3 linked regions of the Oryctolagus cuniculus genome follow. The protein of the gene in region 1 interacts with the protein of each later gene in a pairwise test. Links are inferred from orthologs where the notes say so. Each region holds a gene or a part of one and is shown in the gene's direction. Other genes may lie near its edges. The genes, in order: DRAP1, POLE3 and NFYB.

What was found.
Region 2: the proteins of DRAP1 (region 1) and POLE3 interact in binary tests that used the Homo sapiens proteins (3 or more experiments, as listed by UniProt). The two-hybrid records come from large-scale screens. The link is inferred for Oryctolagus cuniculus from reciprocal best matches to the Homo sapiens genes DRAP1 and POLE3.
Region 3: the proteins of DRAP1 (region 1) and NFYB interact in binary tests that used the Homo sapiens proteins (3 or more experiments, as listed by UniProt). The two-hybrid records come from large-scale screens. The link is inferred for Oryctolagus cuniculus from reciprocal best matches to the Homo sapiens genes DRAP1 and NFYB.

What each region holds. Positions count from the first base shown.
Region 1 is NC_091432.1:5,852,956-5,860,926, reverse strand, and holds DRAP1 (dr1-associated corepressor), read left to right. Parts: upstream 1-3,556; 5' UTR 3,557-3,769; coding exon 3,770-3,811; intron 3,812-3,996; coding exon 3,997-4,069; intron 4,070-4,152; coding exon 4,153-4,246; intron 4,247-4,336; coding exon 4,337-4,456; intron 4,457-4,547; coding exon 4,548-4,641; intron 4,642-5,019; coding exon 5,020-5,108; intron 5,109-5,350; coding exon 5,351-5,465; 3' UTR 5,466-5,575; downstream 5,576-7,971. Other genes in the region: C1H11orf68 (UPF0696 protein C11orf68 homolog), read right to left, coding at 1,972-2,728, 3,262-3,374. UniProt on the Homo sapiens protein: The association of the DR1/DRAP1 heterodimer with TBP results in a functional repression of both activated and basal transcription of class II genes.
Region 2 is NC_091432.1:216,996,617-217,004,983, reverse strand, and holds POLE3 (DNA polymerase epsilon subunit 3), read left to right. Parts: upstream 1-3,611; 5' UTR 3,612-3,686; coding exon 3,687-3,752; intron 3,753-3,852; coding exon 3,853-3,938; intron 3,939-4,241; coding exon 4,242-4,360; intron 4,361-4,955; coding exon 4,956-5,128; 3' UTR 5,129-5,159; exon of another isoform or gene 5,160-5,614; 3' UTR 5,615-6,363; downstream 6,364-8,367. Other genes in the region: C1H9orf43 (uncharacterized protein C9orf43 homolog), read right to left, coding at 132-282, 390-589, 2,193-2,275. UniProt on the Homo sapiens protein: Accessory component of the DNA polymerase epsilon complex. Participates in DNA repair and in chromosomal DNA replication.
Region 3 is NC_091442.1:106,943,878-106,948,147, reverse strand, and holds the end of NFYB (nuclear transcription factor Y subunit beta), read left to right. Parts: intron 1-33; coding exon 34-231; intron 232-924; coding exon 925-1,006; intron 1,007-1,713; coding exon 1,714-1,793; intron 1,794-2,127; coding exon 2,128-2,160; 3' UTR 2,161-3,770; downstream 3,771-4,270. UniProt on the Homo sapiens protein: Component of the sequence-specific heterotrimeric transcription factor (NF-Y) which specifically recognizes a 5'-CCAAT-3' box motif found in the promoters of its target genes.

The sequences.
Region 1 (7,971 bases):
AAGGGTGAGCGGCCAGCGGGCAGCGAGGCAGGCGGGGCAGGCGGGGGCCGGGCCCGAGCTGTCAGTAGTTTCATCCGTTCTCTGGACAGGTTTTGGAGAGGCTGCGCTGGCCCCGCACTCCACTAGGCTCTGGGGATGGGGCTGAGGCTGACACACAGCCCCTGGCCATGTGGCTTCGGGGCCAGCAGGGACTGGCCCTCACTCGAGCGGTTCCGAGGAGCCCAGTCCTGAGTGACACTGCCTGGCAGGTGTCCAAGCACAAGGCGCAGGGCTGCATGCCTGGGGCTGTGCCGAGTGCCAGCTGGCTTCAGTGCAGTGGGCGCAGGCACAAACGGGCGCCCAAGGGAGACTGGGGGCCTGCCACGGAGGGCCCAGGAGAGTGGGCTTTGTCCTGCAGGCTGCAGGGAGCCGTGGGGGCCGGTGGGAGACTGTTGTGGGGGTCTGGAGATGCAGAGGCGTGGGCTCAGGCAGGGGACAGCGTGTGACCGGCTCATCATGGAAGCAGTGCTTTGTGGGCTGGGATCGCAGTCCGGTCAAGTGCAAGGCCCCCACGGCCCGAGGGAGGCAGGACGTCAAGCTGGCTCTAGGGACTTCCCAAGATCGGGTTGAGGGGGACTTGGCCTGGGGACAGAGTGGGTAGGAAGCTGGGGAGGGGGCTGAGCCAGGATCGCATGACTCAGCCACTTCCATCCAGTCAGCCCAGTGGCATCTCCGCGCCTCTGCTCCAAATTCCAGCTTGCTGAGGCGGCGGGAGGCTGAGTCAGCTCTGGCACAGTGTCCCAAGGGGCTCCTGGCCCCCGCCGAGGCGGGGCTGCAGCGTGGAGAGTGCTCCCAGCTCGTCGCAGCTCAGCAGGCAGGGCTAGGCGGGCCACGGGAGCGGATGCACGGTGGCTGAGGGGCTCACCTCGTGGGGGCACTCAGCGGGGTCAGGGCCTCGCTCTCGCTCTGCCGGACACAAGTCCCAGCGCCGAAGAGGCGTTCCCCTCCTGGCTCAGCTCCCCTGACCACAAGAGAGTCCACATCTCCCCGCGAGGGGCCGGAATCGCTCTGCGGCGGCCCGGGCTCCCACATCGCTGGCTGCCCAGGTGCCCAGTGTAGGCGCTGGAACCCAGCCCACGCCCTGCTCCGGCCAGGACTGCCACCACCAGGTGCCACACACAACAGCAGCCGGGGCTGGGCGAGGCTGCTCAGACCTGCCGGAAGCACGGCGCGCTGGCTTACTGGAAGCCACCGAGGGACTGGTTCTGCGGTTCTGCTCCGCTGGGGCTCCCGGGGGAGCCAGGGCCCGGCACCAAGGCCTACCGCGTCAACGGGGTGCAGGAGGGGGCGGGCGGGAAGGCGGCCAGCTGGGTATGTGCGGGTGGGGGGTGTGTGTGTCCTGGCCCCGCCGCTCCCAGCAACCACAGCAGGTAACCACCCAGGTTTTGGAAAAACACTCAGGACACAGACCCAGGCTGGGTTTTATTGAGATGCCAGGAGCAGGCACGTGTCTGGTAGCTGGGAAGAGAGGGAGGTGGCAGAGGGGGCGGGCCGTGTCCGTGGTGCACATCCCCTCTCTGCCCGGGGATGTGGGCGCAAGGACCCTCCTGGCTAAATGGCACGCTCACGCCTGCGGGCCCTGGCCCCCGCACTAGAGGCTCCACGGGGCGGGACTGGAAGCACTGTGTTCCCCGTGAGAGGGGGGAAGGAGAGCTGGCGAGTGCAGGCGGAGGGGAGGTGCGGCGGGGCTCTCTTCTTGGGTGTCTGCACCCACCCCGTGGCCCTGGGCTGCAGGGCGGAGCTGCGAGGAAGAGGGAGGCCCAGGCCCGCCCCCTGGGGGCCGGCGGCAGCCAGGGCACAAGTCCAAGGGGACCGGAGATGCAGGCGGTTGTTGGGCGACCTTGTCCTCAGAGCTGGGGGCGTGGCTTTCTCGGGACAAGGAGGACGAGGCCGGGCCGCCCGGGCGGGGGAGGCCAGGGCGTGGTCACCCCGCTAGGTCAGCTCCACGTTGTTGGCGCGGTCCAGCACGCGGGAGCCGCGGGCCCCGCCCCCGAGCTGGAAGCGGCTCTCGTAGAGCGTGGGGCACAGGTGCCAGCGGTTGGCGCGGTAGATGCCCAGGTAGGTGTACACATCGGGCTTGTAGGTGAGCAGGCACTTGATGCCCGCCGCGCGGATGGCCGAATCCGCCTCCAGGACGCCCAAGCGGTCCGTGAAGTCGTCCGTGTAGACGCAGATCACCTGGCGCCCCCCCTCCTTGGCGCGCGGGCTCACCTTCGCCACCTGCAGCCGGCCCTCCACGACGGCCCGGGCGACGCCGGCCCAGGCGTGGTCCAGCTTGAAGCCAGGGCTCAGGTGCATCAGCCACTTCCCCGACAGCACGCGGTGGGCGATGGCGAGCTGGCGCAGGGTGCCCGGCGTGACAGGCCGGCCGCTGCTCTGCAGAGCCTCCCAGGCCGCCTGCAGCCCCTGCACGTCGCCGGAGTTGGGGGTGTAGCCCTGCCCGTACACGGCGATCCAGCCCACGGGCTCGGCGTTGGGCGACCCGGGGTCCCCGTAGCGGGTGACTTGCGACGGCGGGTACTTGGCCAGCCAGGCATCCAGCTCGGCCGCAGGCGCGGTGCGGGCATCGAACACCAGCCAGGGGTCCATGTCGGCGGCCATGGCCTCAGCAGCCAGGTGCTCCGCGGTGAAGCCGTCCTCCCGGCCGCCGGGAGAGTCCTCCTCCTCCAGCTCCTCACCTGGCTCCATCCTGCCGGGAGGGAACCCCGTCAGAGCAGCGCCGCGCTAAACCGTGTGGCCGGCCTCGGTTGCCTCGTCTCTACAATGGGACAGCTGCTGGCTCTGCTGGGACAATCAGATGCCCCAGGTGGAGAACGCCTACCTGAGCCTCGGTGCCGGGGGCGCTACTACTCCCCTTGGCGCTCCCGCAGCACACCGGTTGCAGGGCAAGGGGCAGGGCCCACGCAGGAACGCAGGTGCGGGAGCTCCGGCCTCAGCTACCCCCGGCCAGCGGGGCCGGGCGTGGAGGGAGAGGCAGGGAAGAGGAGGTTCACGCAGCCCCCGCGGCGGGCCCTGGAAGGCCGGGCCTCCCTGGGGGCGTTACCGGGCCCACTTCGAGGCGAGGACCTCGAGGCCCCCAGACGGCAGTGACCGGTCGGAGACGAACGGGGCAGTGCTAGGACTCGAACCCGGGCCTGTCCGGCCAGCCGGAGGGGCCGACGCGCCCACCGCCCGAGTCGGGGCTCTGCCCCGGGCCCGCCCCGCTCGCCGCCCCGCAGTCACCTCCGGCCTTCGCTGCGTTCCGCGCCGGCCCAGCTCCGGGTCCGGTTCCGCTCCTGCCGGGGCTCCGCGCCGCCGCCGCGCCCCGCCCCCGCCACGGCCGCCGCCGCCGCCATCTTAGCGCCCCGCCGTCTCAACAACAACTTTATAGACAAGCGCGGCCACAGGGGCGGGGCCGCCGCGCCGCATCCGCCGCGCTGCGGGGCGGGGCCGGCGCTGCGGGGGCGGGGCCGACCCCGGGGCGGGGCGGGCCTGCGGGGGCGGGGCTAACGTTCGCAGCTGGGGCCTTGGGGCGGGCGGGAGCGGCGGAGACGGGAGACGCCTGGGAGACGCCAGGGGGGCGGGCGCTTGGGCGCAGCGAGCGGCGTTGAGCGGGCGGCGCTAGGACCCTGCCGGGGAGCGGCGGCGCCAGGACCCGGGGGAACCGCGGCGGGCCGGCGGCGAGCAGGCCCGGGCGCCCGGAGGCTGCGGGCGGCGGCGCGGGGCCCGGCGCGGCGAGAGAGGCCCGGAGATGCCGAGCAAGAAGAAGAAGTACAACGCGCGGTTCCCGCCGGTGAGCACGTGGCGGGGCCCGGCGCGGCGGAGGCTCAGGGTCCGGGCCCCGCCGCGGGGGTGTGGGGGGCGGGCGCATCGCGGTGCTCGTGGTGGTGGTGGGGGCTTGGCGCCCCGCCCCCTTTCTCCCGGGACCCCCACCCGCCGCAGCGGGCGGAGGGGGTCCGAGCGCTGTCCGCCCCGCAGGCGCGCATCAAGAAGATCATGCAGACGGACGAGGAGATCGGGAAGGTGGCGGCGGCCGTGCCGGTCATCATCTGTATCCTTGGGGGCGCCGGGCGGGGGGCGTGTGCGGGCGGGGGGCGGCCGCCCGGCGCCCGCGTGCTCCTTGACGCCCCCCAGCCCGGGCGCTCGAGCTGTTCCTCGAGTCGCTGTTGAAGAAAGCGTGCCAGGTGACCCAGTCCCGCAACGCCAAGACCATGACCACGTCGCACCTGTGCGTGGCCCCGGCGCCGGGGGAGGGCGGCGGGCGGCTGCGGGGGGCGGCCCGGCCGCGGCGTCACCCCCGGTCCGCCGCCTCCCGCAGGAAGCAGTGCATCGAGCAGGAGCAACAGTTTGACTTCCTCAAGGACCTGGTGGCGTCGGTCCCCGACATGCAGGGCGACGGGGACGACAACCACATGGATGCGGACAAGGCGCCTCGCAGGTGCGGGCCGGGGCCGCGGGGGCGGGCGGCGGCGGGCGGCGGCGGGCGGCGGCGGGGGACCTCTGGGCACACGGACCGTGCCTCCCCCAAGGGGCCGGAAGCCGGGCAGCGGCGGCCGCAAGAACGGAGGCGTGGGGAGCAAAGGCAAAGACAAGAAGCTGTCGGGCACAGACTCGGAGCAGGAGGTGAGCGCGGGCCCCGGCCTCTGCCCTGCCCTGGTCCCGTCCTTCCCCGCGGCCACTCCCGGGCCTCAGCTCCCCAGTGACTGCGGCCACTCCCGGGTCTCAGCTCCCCAGTGACCCGGGTCTCAGCTCCCCAGTGACCACGGCCATTCCCGGGTCTCAGCTCCCCAGTGACCGCGGCCACTCCGGGTCTCAGCTCCCCAGTGACCCGGGTCTCAGCTCCCCAGTGACCACGGCCATTCCCGGGTCTCAGCTCCCCAGTGACCACGGCCATTCCCGGGTCTCAGCTCCCCAGTGACCCGCGGCCACTCCCGGGGTCACAGCTCCCCAGTGACCCATGGCCCGTCCATGCCTTTGCTGGTCACCCCCTAACCCCCGCAGGATGAATCTGAGGACACAGATACTGACGGGGAAGAGGAGACCCCGCTGCCCCCTCCCCAGGCCAGCCACCCCCCTGCCCACTTCCAGAGGTAAGCAGCCCGGGGCACCGGAGGAGGCGCGCGGGTCCCCTGGGCTGGCTGTGGCGAATGTGGGGGGTGGGAGCACAGTGACCGTGGGCTTCAAGGCCAGGGACCCCAAGCTGACCAGGGGTGGTGGGCGGAGCCTGGGCAGCTCTGGGCCCGCCCCTTTCCCTGGGGCTTGGCCGCCATTGGTGCAGGGGGTGGTGGGCAGGGGCCTGAGCCGGGCTTGTCTACCCCGCTTCCTCCCGCAGCCCCCCAGCTCCCTTCACGCCCTTCGCCTCGGCTCTGCGCTTGCCGGCTGTGCCCGCAGTGCCCCCTGGCCCCTCGGCGCCTGGCGCGGAAGATGAAGAGGACTACGACTCCTAGCGCCCTCTGCCCCAGGCCGGCCTCCCCTTTTACTTGGTTTTAGTTGCTTTGGGGGGAGGGACAAGGTGGAGCTGTTCTTAAATTTATTAAAAAAAAAAATAACAAAAGGACTGTCTGTGTCGGTGGCAGCCTCTGTCTGGGGCTCGTGGCTGTCTGCCCGCCCGCCCCCACCTCTCTTCCCCTGGGCTGTGGCGGGGGCAGCAGCGGGCCAGGCAGTGAGTGGCAGAGGTCCAGTCTGGGGAGCTGGAGGGAGGCCGCCCGGCGAGGTCTGGGGCCTCTCGTGCTGTGTGGCCCTGGGCGTGCTTCTGCCCTCTCTGGGCTGCCGTGTAGGACCCAGCACAAGGGAGGGGAGGTGTGCGAGGCGGTGGAGGGCCTGGAAGGCAGCTCCTGGGTGGGACGGTGACGTCCTCTGTCCGTCCACGGGTATGTCTGAGCAGGCAGGGAGCTGTGGTGCCCACAGGGCCGGCGTGGAGGCTGTGGGGAGTGGCAGGTAGGAGTGGCTCGCCCAGGCCTCCTGGAGCATTTTTGTCCTAAAAGGCTGGAGCCGCCAGGCTGTGGGTCCGTCTGGTCTGGACAGGATCACCGCCTTCCAGGGAGGCGTTTGGAGCCTGGGGAGAACGATGGCGGCTTGACCGCGGGAGGGGCTGTGTTCAGGACACCCCCCGTCCCTTCGCAGTGGCTCTGCTGCCGCCAGCGGCCTCGCCCTGCTCGATGGGCTGTGGGGGTGCGGAGGGCGGGTGTGTGAGTCCGGGGCAGGTGACCGAAGGAGACAGAGCGGCCAGGCCAGGCCAGGCCACCCGGTTGTGCCGGGAAGGAGAGGCCAGCTGTCAGATGCTTGGACGCCAACAAGGAGGTGGTGGCTGGGAGCAGAGGTGCTCCGTGCTCCAGGCCTGGGCTCGTGGACGGGGCAGGCGGAAGCTCCCAGGTGAACAGAAGCAGCACGGGTGTTTGTTTTTAAAGACTTGTTTGTTTGAAAGGCAGAGTTACAGAGAGGGAAAGACAGAGAAGGGTCTGCCATCTGCTGGTTCACTCCCGAATAGCCCAGGACTGGGCCAGGCTGCAGCAGGAGCCAGGAGCTCCACCTGGACCAAGCGCCCGGGCCATCCTCCATTGCTTTCCCAGGTGCGTTAGCGGGGAGCTGGATCAGAAGTGGAGCGGCCGGGGCAGGAGCTACAGCTGGTGTTACAGGGGCAGCCTAACCCCCTGCGCCACGGCGCTGGCCTGCAGGGTTTTGTTTTTTAAGACAACAGAAATGCAGGCTTCTAGAGAGAGAGAGAGGGCCGGAGGGAGTGGAGTGGGTCATGAGGAAGGAGAGACAGGGAGTGGCTTCCGTAGGAGGCGGAGGTGATGAGTTATCTGGGGTGACGCTGAGGGCCGGGGGAGCAGATGGTCTAAGGCAGCGGGAGGGTGGACGGTGAGCGGTGGAGCGGCCGGCGGTGGCACTTGCTGGTGTCCCTGTGTCCTTCCCAGGCGCCCTCTTGCCTCCTCCCCCAGCCTGCAGCGTGTACAGCTGCCCCCACTCCAGGTCCTCAGCCTGGCCAATCATAGCATCCCTGCCGCGGGGATCTTGCCTGGGGGGCCTTGGGCGGGGCCCTCGGGGAAGGGTGGTGGTTGTTTTTTTTGTTTAAGGATTATTTGGTTCACTCCCCAGATGGCCACAGTGGCTGGGGGTGGGCCAGGAACTCCATCCGGGTTCTCCATGTGAATCCAGGGGCCCAAGCCCTTGAGCCACCCTCTGCTGCTTTCCCAGGCGTGTTAACAGGGACTTGGAGCGTTCTGATGGGGCGCACCCATGTCACAGGTGGCGGCTTAACCCACTGTGCCACACCGGCCCCTGGGGAAGGGTTTTGACAAGACCCCTGGCAAGGATGAGTGGCGGCCAGTCCGGCACAACATGGGCCAGAAGCTGCTGGAAGCCGCCCACCGGCCCAAGGGGGCGATCCTACCTGCAGACGAAGCCAGCTCAGGGCGCAGAGACGAGGCATTAGTACCTGCATCCAGTGTGGGCCGTGCGCGCACCCTGGGCTTCTTAGCCCCCTGAGCCGTTGGGTGTCTGTCGCTCTTAAGGGAAAGAGGCCCCGTGAACCCCAGGACCCCCCCCCCCCAGCCCTGGGAGCAGAGTTCTTTAGCACCAGGGGGTGGAGGGGTCCTTGTGTCTCCAGGGAGGAAATCTTGCCTAGTGTGCATGAGGTCAGGGTTGGGAGAGGAGACCCCGGGCGGGGAGGGGGCCTGTTGCTGGGCCGCGCAGTGGGGACTTGCACCAGGCGGGTCTCAGGTGGTGGGGGAAGGCCAGGGGCTGGCATCAGGCAAAGGCCCAGGGAGAAGAAACAGTGGCTGCGGGGAGCAGCTGGCCTTAGACAGAGTGTGTCAGACTGGAACGGCTAGAACTAGGCCCTGGGTTCAAATCCTGGCTCTTCCACTCAGCAACCTTAGGTGCCGTGGCTTCTGACTGCCACAAATGGAGCCAGTTGCTACCTACCTTCATCATATACAGACGGCCCTGTGG
Region 2 (8,367 bases), about 210 Mb from region 1:
CCCCGACCGGGACTAGAACCCGGTGTGCCGGCGCCGCTAGGCGGAGGATTAGCCTAGTGAGCCGCGGCGCCGGCCAACCCAGAATTTTCTGAGACAATGGGATGTTAACAGAAGATTCCGTGATACATCACCTGTCTTGAAATTTTGAGTCAAATTTTGATTCCCGAGACAATAAGGCATGAGCCTTGCTGACGGCAGATGCTGATAATGGACGACGAGCAAGTCTCTTGGCCCGGAAGCAGGAGTCTGAGATGTTTACCACCGTGAGCATGGGGAGTTTATCTGAGAAAGCAGACCAGAAGGAAACATGTAACATGCTGCCTAGAGAAAGGAAGCCGAGCATACACAGCTTAAGGACCTTGTGAGGAAGAGTCTAGATGCTAAGTTACCTTCAGGATCCACAGAGGTTTGGCATGGTGAGCCCAGGATCCGAGGATGGCCCCTCTCAATCCGGCGGAAAGATGCCCAGCATTGCGGATGCTGACAGAGAGCTAAGTTGCAGGTGGTTTCATCCCACTGGGTCTCATCTGGCAAGTCCATAGCTGTAAAAGGTTTAGGACAACGGCCAGCCCTGCAGTGTTCTACCCCTCTGGGAAATCAACAAATAATAATTAGGGAATATTACACATAAACCATGCAGTATTTGGACTCAATGCACAAAATATTTCTACTGAACTTTCATTGGTAAATGGTCATTGGATAAGTAAAGGTTGGGAAATAAACAGGCATGAAAACATCTCAGAGCGACATAAGAGTTTGGGGACGGAGTTCAGAAGGTCTCCTCCTAATTGGTCATTCATTTAATATCTGAGTGGTCTGGGACTTTAATCTGAGCCTCAGTTTCCTCGTATGTAAAATGGGGATAAGCCTATTAAACAGACATTACCAAATTAGTTAATAAATATTAAAGGCTTGACATATAGGCTAAAATAAGCATTAGCATCATTTCCAGTTCTCCTTAGTCAATGATCAGGGAGAAGGTGCCATTATCTCCAAAAGCCTTAAATTAAAACCAATGTAGTCATACAATCACTTTAGATGACTCAAACCTTGGGAAGGCAGGCTTCCTTTTCCAGTATGAGGGTACTTCAAAATGTTCATGAAAAATGGCATTAAAAGAGACGTTCTTTAGTGCAAAATCATTTTGAAATCCATGCAGAGATTCTTCAAAGTTTTTATGAAAAATGAGAACTATGAAAAAACTACACATGGGTTTGAAAATATTTTGCTCCAAAATAAACCTATCTTTTAATTCCACATTTCTGCAGACTTACCCCCATGCTGATTCCCATGCAGGCAAAATCCCAGCAATGCATGGGTTTGAACACTCAAATAGCAAATCAGTAGACTTGTAGTTGCTTCGGAGGTCATTACTTTTTCATTTACTGGCTGTAAGCATAAGGTCTTAGGCAAGTGACTTCATCTTAGCCTGTTTCCTCACGTAACGTGTGTGGTTGGGGCAGGCGGCTGGCTGTGTGTGTGTGTGTGTGTGTGTGTGCGTGTGAACCCCTAAGCAGAACTGTGGAATCGTTAAATAAGATAATACACTTGAATTGCTGGTATTATGGGTGCTCAGAATCTTCTTCCCTCTGCAGACGTTTCAGGCAATCACTACCACTCCATCCCTAATGCTTTTTAAGGACAGTGTCCACTTCTTCTTTCTTTTATCCAACATGTTTATTGACTACCAAAGATATGAGAGGGCTCGTTTGGGGCACGGAGAACACTGATAAGCAAACCATGTTCTGAACACCTTGTCAGATCAAAGACAGCGAACTATTGGCCTTGGATTGTACCCAACCTGACCTGCTTAGTTTGGCAGGCACTTTGAGCCTACCAAAAATCGAAATAGTCCCTAATATCCAGATTTCTGGCTCCTCTTACAGATCAAAACATCTGACAACACTGGGCCCAATTCCAACTACACAGCAATTGGCTGAAGCGTTCCAGCTCCTGGCATCTCTACGCCCAGTCTGCCCTAGCCAAGTACAGTAGGACCCCCACGAGGTCCTGGTCTCTAGCTCAAGTTTGGTTGCCTTTTACCATGGCATGTGCTCTGCTGTTTTTCTAATAGGGAAGTATCTCGCTCTAATCATGTATCCATCAAAAGCAAGAAAAATTTGAGACAGCATGTTTCAAGGGGAAAAAAACAACTGGATTAGTTCTCAGTGGCAGTAAGAATTTCCACATACCTAATGTGAAAGGAATACAACTTGAAGTGCCACTGCAGGAGCCGCAGTGTCGTGGGGAAAGCCGCCACCTGCAGTGCCAGCATCCCATATGGGTACCGGTTCCAGTGCCGGCTGCTCCACTTCTGATCCCGCTCCCTGCTAATGTACCTGGGACAGCAGCTGAGGATGGCTCAAATGCTCGGGCCCCTGCACCCACGTAGGGGCTCCTGGCTTCATCCTGGCCCAGCTGGGCACAGCCATTTGAGGAGTGAATCAGCAGATGGGAGATCTCCTTCGCTTTCTCTTTTATATATATATATATATATGCACATATATATATATCAAATATCTAAATCTTAAGTAGTTGGGTCCTGGCCATCCACGTGGGAGACCTGGATTGAGTTCTAGGCTCCTGGCTTCCACCTGGCTCACCACCCATTGGCCAGCATCTGGGGACTGAACCTGATGTAAGATTCCTCTCTCTCTTCCCAAATAAAAAAGATTTGTTAATTACAGAAGAGGAAGAGGAAGAAGAAGAAACCCTTGGGTATGATTTTGCCTGGGAAAGGTGTACGACACACAATGTAATGAACTAAAACTAAACGCAATTTTAACAAGGCTGTTTTAAATGGGACGATGCAGTATTTTAAAAGCGGCTGCTCCCGCCCTTTCCTGCCCAGCCCGAAATGAACCTCTAAGTCTGGTCAGGCGCATCCCGCTGTGAACAAGAGCTCAAGGGAAAAAAAAGGTAACTCCCCAAAAAAGCCTAGCTAACACCTATCCTTGGTAAGGATTAGCACAGCGCCGTGAGGGGCGGAAAGATGGATGGACATCGGCAAGCGCTGGGCTGAAGAAAGATTCCCCGCTGCGTTCTGGAACAGGAAAAACACTGTGGCTGTCGGGAGGGAGCGGTTCCGCCTCGCAGGGTCCCGGCTCCTCGGGACCACGGCAAAGATGAAACCCCGAGGGTTCCCGAAATCCAGGGGCCCAACGCAGCCCCGCCCGGCGAGGAGCTCGGCGGTAATGGCTCACCAGGCCCCGCCTCTCGTCCGGAGGGGCCCCACCCAGCCGCCTCGGCTCCACGCCTCCGTCTCCCACGCGAGGCGCGAGGCCGCTCCGTCGCCAAGCAACGGCGCAGAGCACGATGGGGCTCGGACGGAAGCCTCCGTGGGCCATACTTAGTTCGAGGCGAAAGCTCTGGACGTAGCGGGAGCGTGAAGCAGAGACACTCTTCTGAGGAAGAACGTGCGGCGTACGGTGGGCGCTGACCGAAAGATCCAGCGAGCCAAAACCGCTACGAGCGCAAAAAGTTCGGGTGCAAAGCGTCTTGAGGTGGAGAGGCGGGGCTGGCGTAGGAGGAAGGCTGGGGGCGCGGGGCACTGTGGGACACGGTGCGGCCTACGTGAGGCGGAACGGAAGCCTCGGAGGGTCAGACAGCAGCGGCGCGGGAAGTCCGGACGCTGGAGGTACCTGGGGAGGAGGCCCTAGGCTCAGACTCAGGCCTCGACCGCGGCCATGGCAGAGAGGCCCGAGGACTTAAACCTGCCCAACGCCGTAATCACCAGGATCATCAAGGAGGCGGTGAGCAGCTCGGGCTGGCGATGGGCCGGGGGCGGACGAGCGGGCAGAAGGGAAGCAGGTCCTGGGCCGGCGGCTTTGCTCACTCCCGCCGTCATCACAGCTCCCGGAAGGTGTCAACATCTCCAAGGAGGCCCGGAGCGCCATCTCACGCGCCGCCAGCGTCTTCGTGCTGTACGCCACATCGTGGTGAGCAGGACAGAGCGAGCCGGCGTCCGGCTGGGTCTAAGGCCTGGAGGGTGGGGGGGAGGCACCGGGAACCGCTGCTGGCAGTTGTGGTCTGGGACCCATGTAAACCCCCCTCCCGGGTCTTCCCGGGTCTGTTCGAACAGCAGACTTAGGTACGGGCAAGGGCAGGGTTTACGCAGGTTACGCAAACATCTGTACGGCCAAGATGTGCCTGGGTTCTCCCTTCCCACCCCTGGGTGCCCCTTTTCGCGTCCTAAAGAGGGAAGGGGGCAGCCGTTTAGAGCCCTTTTTGCTTTGTTTCAGTGCCAACAACTTCGCGATGAAAGGGAAACGCAAGACCCTGAATGCCAGCGACGTGCTGTCCGCCATGGAGGAGATGGAGTTCCAGAGGTTCGTCGCCCCGCTGAAGGAGGCCCTGGAAGGTAACGACCCCCGCGTGGCTTCTCTTCTTCTTCACTTTATTTGGAAGGCAGAGAGAGAGAGATCGTTAAACACAGCGAGATCTTCCGCCCTCCGGTTCACTCCCCAAATGCCCAGGTTAGCTATGGCCGGGCCGGGCCGGGCCGGACCCCTGCCCTTCCTCTGGGTCTTCCACGTGGGGAGCAGGGCCCCAAGTATTTGCGCCATCCAAGGTGTTCCGGCAGGAGGCTGGCTCTAAAGTGGCGGAGCCAGGACTCAAACCAGGCACTCCCGTACAGGTATGGGATGCGTGCGTTCCGAGCTGCGCCTTAATCCCTGCCCCCAGTGCCTGCCCGTACCCTTCTGTTTCCCAAACCACATGGAAGACGGGTGACCTGTTGATGTGGCCCTGGGACTGTGAAAGAGTGGCCCAGAAAGCCAGTACCGGATGTGACCGGACGTAGTTCAGTGGCACCACCCGAGACCTCTCGGTGCTGCTCGCCAGGTCCTTTTCTGCTCGTGTCCCTTGGTTTTTCCAGCTGTCCAGTGATGCTGCCGGCTGCGGTCCCCGCTTGTCTCCCCCAGCCCTGTCTCCTAACCCCGCCCCTCTTCCTGCAGCCTATAGGCGGGAGCAGAGGGGCAAGAAGGAAGCTTCGGAACAGAAGAAGAAAGACAAAGACAAAAAGGCGGATTCGGAAGAGCCGGACAAGAGCAGGGACGAGGACAACGATGAAGATGAGGAGAGGCTGGAGGAAGAAGAGCAGAATGAAGAGGAGGAGATTGACAACTGAGTGCTGCGGGAGTCTGGACCTCGGGAGGCAGGTGGGCGGCGGGAGGCAGGCGGGCGGTGGCCGTGGGCTCCGTGTTTGTGCGCTGCTTTGCCCCGGGCTGGAGTGCTGGAGCAGATGCAGGCCGCCAGCCGAACCGGCGCTCCCGACGCCGCGCAGCCGCCTGGCACAGCCCTGTGCCGCTTCCTTGAGCGGGCGGTCGTCACTGAACAGCTCGCTCCGTTAGTCAGTGTGATCTCTCGTGTTGGCTTACATGTATGGCTGGGTAGGTTTTGACCCCCAGTCCTCCTACCCCTGAAGAGAGTCGTAATTCCCCTGCTGCCTGCTGTGTTCCAAGTCTCAGAGGCCATGAGGCTCCAGAAAGCTGGGCTTCCTTGCACACGATGTGGCCGTGGAAACCCGTGAAGTGGTCAGGCGGTTGGCTTTAGGACACTGCTAAGAGAACTGGAGGATTAAAGAAATCTGTTCTGTTGTCTCTCCCCTTGGCAGGAACATCCGTGGGAGTGGATTCTGTTAGACCCGCTCACCCTGGAGCTCATCTGTGTGCCTTAGGCAGCCTGCCTGGGGCGGGCCGGGCCGGGCGCCGCGCTCTGAGCTCACGCGCTCCGGATTGAACAGTGGAGACCACAGGCAGGCAGGCAGGGACGCCGGGGTCTTACGGAGCAGGCGCCTCACTGCCTTCGCCATGTGCACTTGAGAACCTGCTGGAGGCCAAGCCCGCCTCCCGGGCTGGGGCCTGAGCGTCCTCCTTCAGTTCACGGAGAGTTCCAGACCGTCTCCCCTCTAGGCACAGCTCTCCCTCCGCTCCTGTGGCTCTTCTCATTTCCACTTTCTCTCTCAGTCCTGCCAGTCTGGGAACTTTGACAGTCTGCTTAGTATTCCAAAGTGCAAGTCCTTCTGCTTTCTTAGTTCTAATCTCTCGGCTTTTAAAAAGAATGTCATACAAACCCTTTAGGGCAGTCAGATGGCGCTCAGGAATGTAATGGCTGGCCCACCAGCCGTGCCCCCGAGCTGCTTCTAAAGCACCCCTGTTGGCCTCTCTGAGCCTTTCTCTCTTTTGGGTCAGTGCTACAAGCACTGTTCTGTTTGCAGGTTGAGCGCTTGGGTTTGACAGGTAGGGAAGTGTAGTCTGACACTGTCAACTTGTTAAATGAACACAGGGAGGCGTTCAATGAGTGATGGCTGTTGAGAAGATTGTAATGCTTTGTACGAATAAAGAACGTTCTTGTTAGAAGAGATGACGCCTGCGTGTTCCCCGTGTGCTTTTGGAGAGGAGCCACTGATCAAGTCCCCATACAGTGTCTGGGGTGTGATCCCCGGGCCAGATCTTGGAAACACGGGAGCCTGCATCACCGCTGGCGGCCAGCAGATGCCGCTCGCTCACAGGCAAGGGTGCTGCTGCTCAGCTGGCGCGAGCCTGATCATGGCTGGCACCTTAGAAAGCCAGCGACGCCACTTCCTGAGCTCCCACTGCGTCTGGCGCTGTTCCGAATGCCTGCCAAAACTACCTCTTAGACCCTGGGAAGCAGCCCTGCTGTCACCCTCATTACCTTTTAACCACACTGCTCCTAACCGCACTCTAACCTACGCAGTCTTTTCAAATCATAAAAAGTTCATGCATATCGGGGCTGGCATTGTAGCTTCGTGGGTAGAGCCACCACCTGCCTTGCCAGCATCCCATGTGGGCCCTGGTTTGAGACACAGCTGCTCCACTTCCGATCCAGCTCCCTGCTAATGGCCTAGGAAGGCAGCAGTAGATGGCACAGGTGCTTGGGCCCCTGCCACCAATGTGGGAGGCCTGGAAGAAGCTCCTGGCTCCTGGCTTTGGCTTGGCCCAGCCCTGGCTGTTGCAGCCATGTAGGGTGTGAGCCAGAGGTTGCAAGATCACTCTCTGTCCCTAACTCTTTCAAATAAATATTTTTTTGAAGAACTGTATGCAGGTTTTCACGGTCAGTTGATCCAATGGGTTTTTCCCTGTCCACAGCAGAAACATCCTTTCATAATTCCCATGAGCACCGCTGTAGGCTAAGCCAAGTCCCATCTGGACTCCTGTGGCTTCCTTTGAGCTGAGTTTCCTGCCTCATCTCTGCTTCCCCTCTGTACTAGCCAAGTGAACCTTCTGGAACATGGCTGCGTTACAGTCCTCCCCCCAACCCTGCTTCCTGTCAAACAAACCAGTTACACAAGCCCTGCGTAAGGACAGCTCGTTCCATCTATTCTGCTACTCCATCATAAGACTGCACCTGTCAGGAGTGAATCCCAAAAGAACTGCATTATAACTCCATCCATCCTGCCCCTCCTCACCAATCTTACACCAAAAAAAAAAATTTTTTTCCTTAGAAATATTTGGCTTAAAACTACAGGTTTTTGGTTTTTTGTTTTTAGATTGATTGATTTATGTGAGAGGCAGAGTTGCAGAGAGCCAGGTCTTGTATCTGCTGGTTCACTCCCCAGACCTCTCACTGACGGGTGAAAGGCTCTTTGGAGCGAGGGGACCTGCCCAAGATCGCACCAATGTACAAGAATGGGGATCCTGTTGGGGTCCCGGTGGCCTTCAGCTGTGCTTCTGTTTTATTTTAACAAACAAACTTTGGAACAGTCTTACAGAAAAGTTTCACAGAATTGCAGGAATCTCATACTCTTCACTCAACTTTCCCTGTGTTCACGTACTGCATAAACCATGGTGCCTTTGTCAAAACTAAGAAACGTGTAATATAGACGGAAAGCGGGAGCTGGGGGTGTGTCTTTCATCCTGTGATTCACTCCCCAAATGGCCACAATGGCAGGAGCTGGGCCAGTCTGAAGCCAGGAGCTTCTTCCGAGTCTCCCATGTGGTTGCAGGGCTCAGACACTTGGGCCATCTTCCCATCTTTCCCAGGCCACAAGCAGAGAGCTAGACTTGAGCAGTGCCCATATGGGATACCAGAACACAGGCGGAGGCTTAATCTATACTATAGCACTGGCCTTGCACCTGTTTTACTACTAACAAACTTTCTATAAAAATGTCCGAACAAAAATTGGAAGTGAGCTCACTTTTTAAGCCTAAGATGAAGAACAGGCACATGTAGCAACAAGTTATATAGCTGCTTGGGGCATATGGGGAGTGAACCAGCAGACAGAAAGATCTTTCTCTGCGTCACTCTGCCTTTTGAAATAAATATTTTTAAAAAATAAAGTTATGATGAAATTCATGGAACAAAAACCATTTTTTTTTTTAAGTTTCTTTATTTCAAAGGCAGAAT
Region 3 (4,270 bases), on another chromosome or scaffold:
TACAGATTTTCTTATGTTTTTTTTTCTCTTCAGATTGCAAAAGATGCCAAAGAATGTGTTCAAGAATGTGTGAGTGAGTTCATTAGCTTTATAACATCTGAAGCAAGTGAAAGGTGCCATCAAGAAAAACGGAAGACAATCAATGGAGAAGACATTCTCTTTGCCATGTCCACCTTGGGCTTTGACAGTTATGTGGAACCTCTGAAATTGTACCTTCAGAAATTCAGAGAGGTAAGTAAGATGTCCTTTGTTGGCTTTGAACAATACAAGATTCATTATTTATTTAAACTTTTAAAATGTATTACTCTGGGCCTGGCACTGTGGCATGTGATGCCAGCCACCCATGTGGACACCAGTTTGAGCTCTGGCTGTTCCACTTCCGATCCAGCTCCCTGCTGGTGTGCCCCAGCGGGCAGCAGAGGATGGCCCAAGTGTTTGGGCCCCTGTACCCACATGGGGAATCCTCTGGCCTCGGATTGGCTCAGCTCCATCCATTGCAGCTATTTGGGGAGTGAACCAGTTGATGGAATATCACCGTCTCTCTCTAGCTCTCCCTTGTAACTCTGCTTTTCAAATAAATAAATAAATCTTTAAATAAAAATAAGTAAATAAATAAAATATATTATTCTGTATTCCTTTAATGTGGTTTGGAATTAGAATAATTTATTTTTATCCATAAATCCTTAAGGTTTTCTAGGTCATTACTGACACTGTGTTATAATGATTACTGCTAATATAAAAGGTATTTTAAGGGCTTCCTCATGTAATTACCTGGAAGTGGTAATAAATACTGTTTAGTGTTTGTAATAATAGAAGCTCCTAATTTTAGGCAGTAAATAAGCAGTCTCATTTTGGAAACTTTGATTTGACTACCAGTGACTACCTTTTAAATTTTTGTTTTTGTTTTTCATTTTCCTTCCCCAGGCTATGAAAGGAGAGAAAGGAATTGGTGGAGCAGTCACAGCTACAGATGGACTAAGTGAAGAGCTTACAGAGGAGGCATTCAGTAAGCAGTGTTATGATACAAGTCTTGCAGATTGTCAGCAGTGATTCATACGAAATGTTGGAGGTGTTATTTTTGGACTAGCTGCACTGAGTATTTTGACATTGTACTATTTTGAATACTTATTAGTTCATACTCATGTATTTGAAATCAGTAGATAATAAGTGTAGAAAATTTTAATTCTACACACATTATAATCTTTTACTGATTTTCCATAGCTCCTAGTTTTTGGTTAAAAGTCATGTGAAATAGAAATAATGAGAATCATAGTTTGTTATACAAAATCTTGTGGTTTAAATAAGTTTGAGCTAAGGCCTCTTATTTAAAAATTGGCTATCATTGTCATTGGTGAAATGAAAGGTATGTGGTAAACATATTTCTCATAAGTCACATATGTATGTATGTGTTTAAGTCAGCGCCCAGCTCACCCTCACTGTGTGGTGTAGGCCTCACATGAATCAGACACTCCTTCCCATGTTTCTGAGATTGGTACAATGGGCGAGGATTCAGAAAATTGAAAAATACAATAGAAAAAAATGTGCTTTAGCATATTAGGGAACATTTTAGAATGGAAAAATGTTAGGTTTATGATTTTACCCACATTAAATAAGAGGCCAGATTGCAAGGAGACATCAATGGCATAACCTTAAGGTTCAGTCTGAGAAAGTAGATGGGATTTTTTTTCCTCTAACTTTTTTTTTTTGTCTTAGCTAACCAATTACCAGCTGGCTTAATAACTGCAGATGGTCAACAACAAAATGTTATGGTTTATACAACATCATATCAACAGGTACAGTACCTTCTTTGTATTTAAGTTACTTTAAAAGTTGATTATATTTATTTTTAACACAGGTAATTTTAATATATTAGTAATGAAATAAAAGTTACTAAAAATTTTGTTTTCTCAAAGTATACAAAATTAGCTATAATATTCTATAACTGGTTAAAAATACATATAGACATGTTTATATTTACATAGACAATTTGTAGGAAAATACCAGAAATGATTAAAATAGAAGGAAGCAGATTTTTCATTATCTGTTGTTTTTAGTCACTGTTTATGATATGCATGTTACTTATAAACTATTTTTTTCCTAATTCTACTCAAATTTTTGTAATCTTAGATTTCTGGTGTTCAACAAATTCAGTTTTCATGATCTGAAGAAATTATGGGATGGAAGTGTAGAGAAGCAAGAGTCTGTGATTCTGGAACAGAGACATCAGAAGAAAATGACTGGTGAAAAAATGTCTCTTTGTACATTAAATAGCTGTAATGTAGCTTCCTGATGCTTGACTAATTGAGGTGTTAATTCTGACTTGAGAATCTTTTTCATGAATGATTTTAAAGAAAAATTTGGATTTTAAAGGTATTAAAATATTTTTGTTTTGTACGAGAGTTTGTTGCTCTGTATGACTCCTGTATGCATTGTATATTGCAATTTATTACTGTCAGAGATTTGTAGACAGTTTCTTATTTTCATATTGAATCATGTTACTTTTGTAATTCAAATAAGCAGCTGGGTTAATTCATGATGTTTGCCCTTTTAATAAAATATAAGGGTAGAGTTCATTTGAATGCAAGTTGCCTTTATTATAAATTTGAGTTTGTCTTGGCTATATATACTATCTTGCATGGTAACCTAGCTAGATTTTTACATTTGCCATATTTTATTAAAATTGATTTTTTTGGTAAAACATTCAAAGCAGCACCATTTTAAAAAATATAACTGAGTAATTGTGAATGCAGAAGAAATTATTGTCTGCCCTGTTAAACTTGGTGCCCATTAACAGTGTTTACACTGTTCATTGTGCCTGTTAATGTAGTTTTACTTATTAGAGCTTTCATTAAGACTAGATTTATTTTTGAGTTACATTATTATGAGTGTTAGAATTCATTTAAGTTTAACATAGTTCTAGAGCCCTTAAAATGGTGCCCCTTTTATTTGATATGATTTTTTTCAAAGCATATCTTCAAGTATTATAGTGTCCTCTTCCAGAAGGGGAATTTTATAGTCTGATGGTAAATGTCCTCATCTTACCTTTTTTTATTGAAATGTCAAGTTTCCTATTACACTATAGGAACCAAGAAATATTGGCTGTCATTATGTGTACAGACCTTTTGCACGGTGAGTGAATGAGAATGAGAACAGAGTGAGTGCTATGAGCAGTGTGAAATAGAAGCCATGACTTCTAGTGTGCTGTCTTGATCTTTGCAATAAACTAAACTTAGATAATGTAACTTTGTATAATTTAGTAGTATGTACTTGAGTTGTTCCTTTTTTAAAGTAAGGATTTGTATTTTCTCATTTATTCTTTTTGGTGATAATTAACTTGAAGTAGATTTTTTTTATTTTAATATCACAAATTGCTGTTGTATATTTTGCCTAAAAGGCAGTCTGAGTGAATGCCGTCTGTGATGAAGGACATTCAGATGTATAAGGCAGAGGCAGTCTCCCACTGACTGCCAGGAGCCTGTAAGGGCACATTTTGGCTACTCTAGGTAATAATTCCCTTCCTCCTACCCCCTTGTTTAAAAATAATCTTCATGATAGAAACTTCAAATAGGAAAAAAAGGGATGGTAGTTACGCAGAATCAACTAGCCTCCTACTATGTTGAAATAACCAATGTTAATATTTTGATAAATATCATTTGTCCTTTTACTTTGCAAAATATGTATATTTTTATAAAAATGGGTTCATTGTGCATACTGTTTTGTAACCTGCTTTTTTCACTTAACAATATATTGTGAATGTCTTTGCCAGGTTATGCAGTCTTCTGCATCATTTTTATTGGTTTATTATTCTATTGTATGAATGAATCATAATTTATTTACTCCTCCACTGGACATTTTGACTATTTACATCTTTTCAGTTATAAACAGCAGTTCACTGAATCATGTGTATATCCATGACTGTTTTCTTAAAATGAATTCTCAGAATTGTTGGCTTACCAGACATGCATAATTTTAAGGCTTTTGATACTTACAAATGGATGTATTTTAAAAATGTCTTCCATTTGATTCAGGCAGTATATCACTATATAACTGATAAAAGCACTTGGTCTTTGGTTATCAGATTCATTCTCTAAAATTACTCTAAAGATTGGAATAAGTTTGAGTAAAGAATCAAGATAAGAAAGGAATTTCACAGCTTAAAATTGGTATATTCCAAAACAAACTTCCAAACTTTAGGTACAGTCATGTCAACGCTGAGTTATGTGGCCTTCATACACAAGAAAGGAAATCAACATTCTGCATGTTTCAGGCA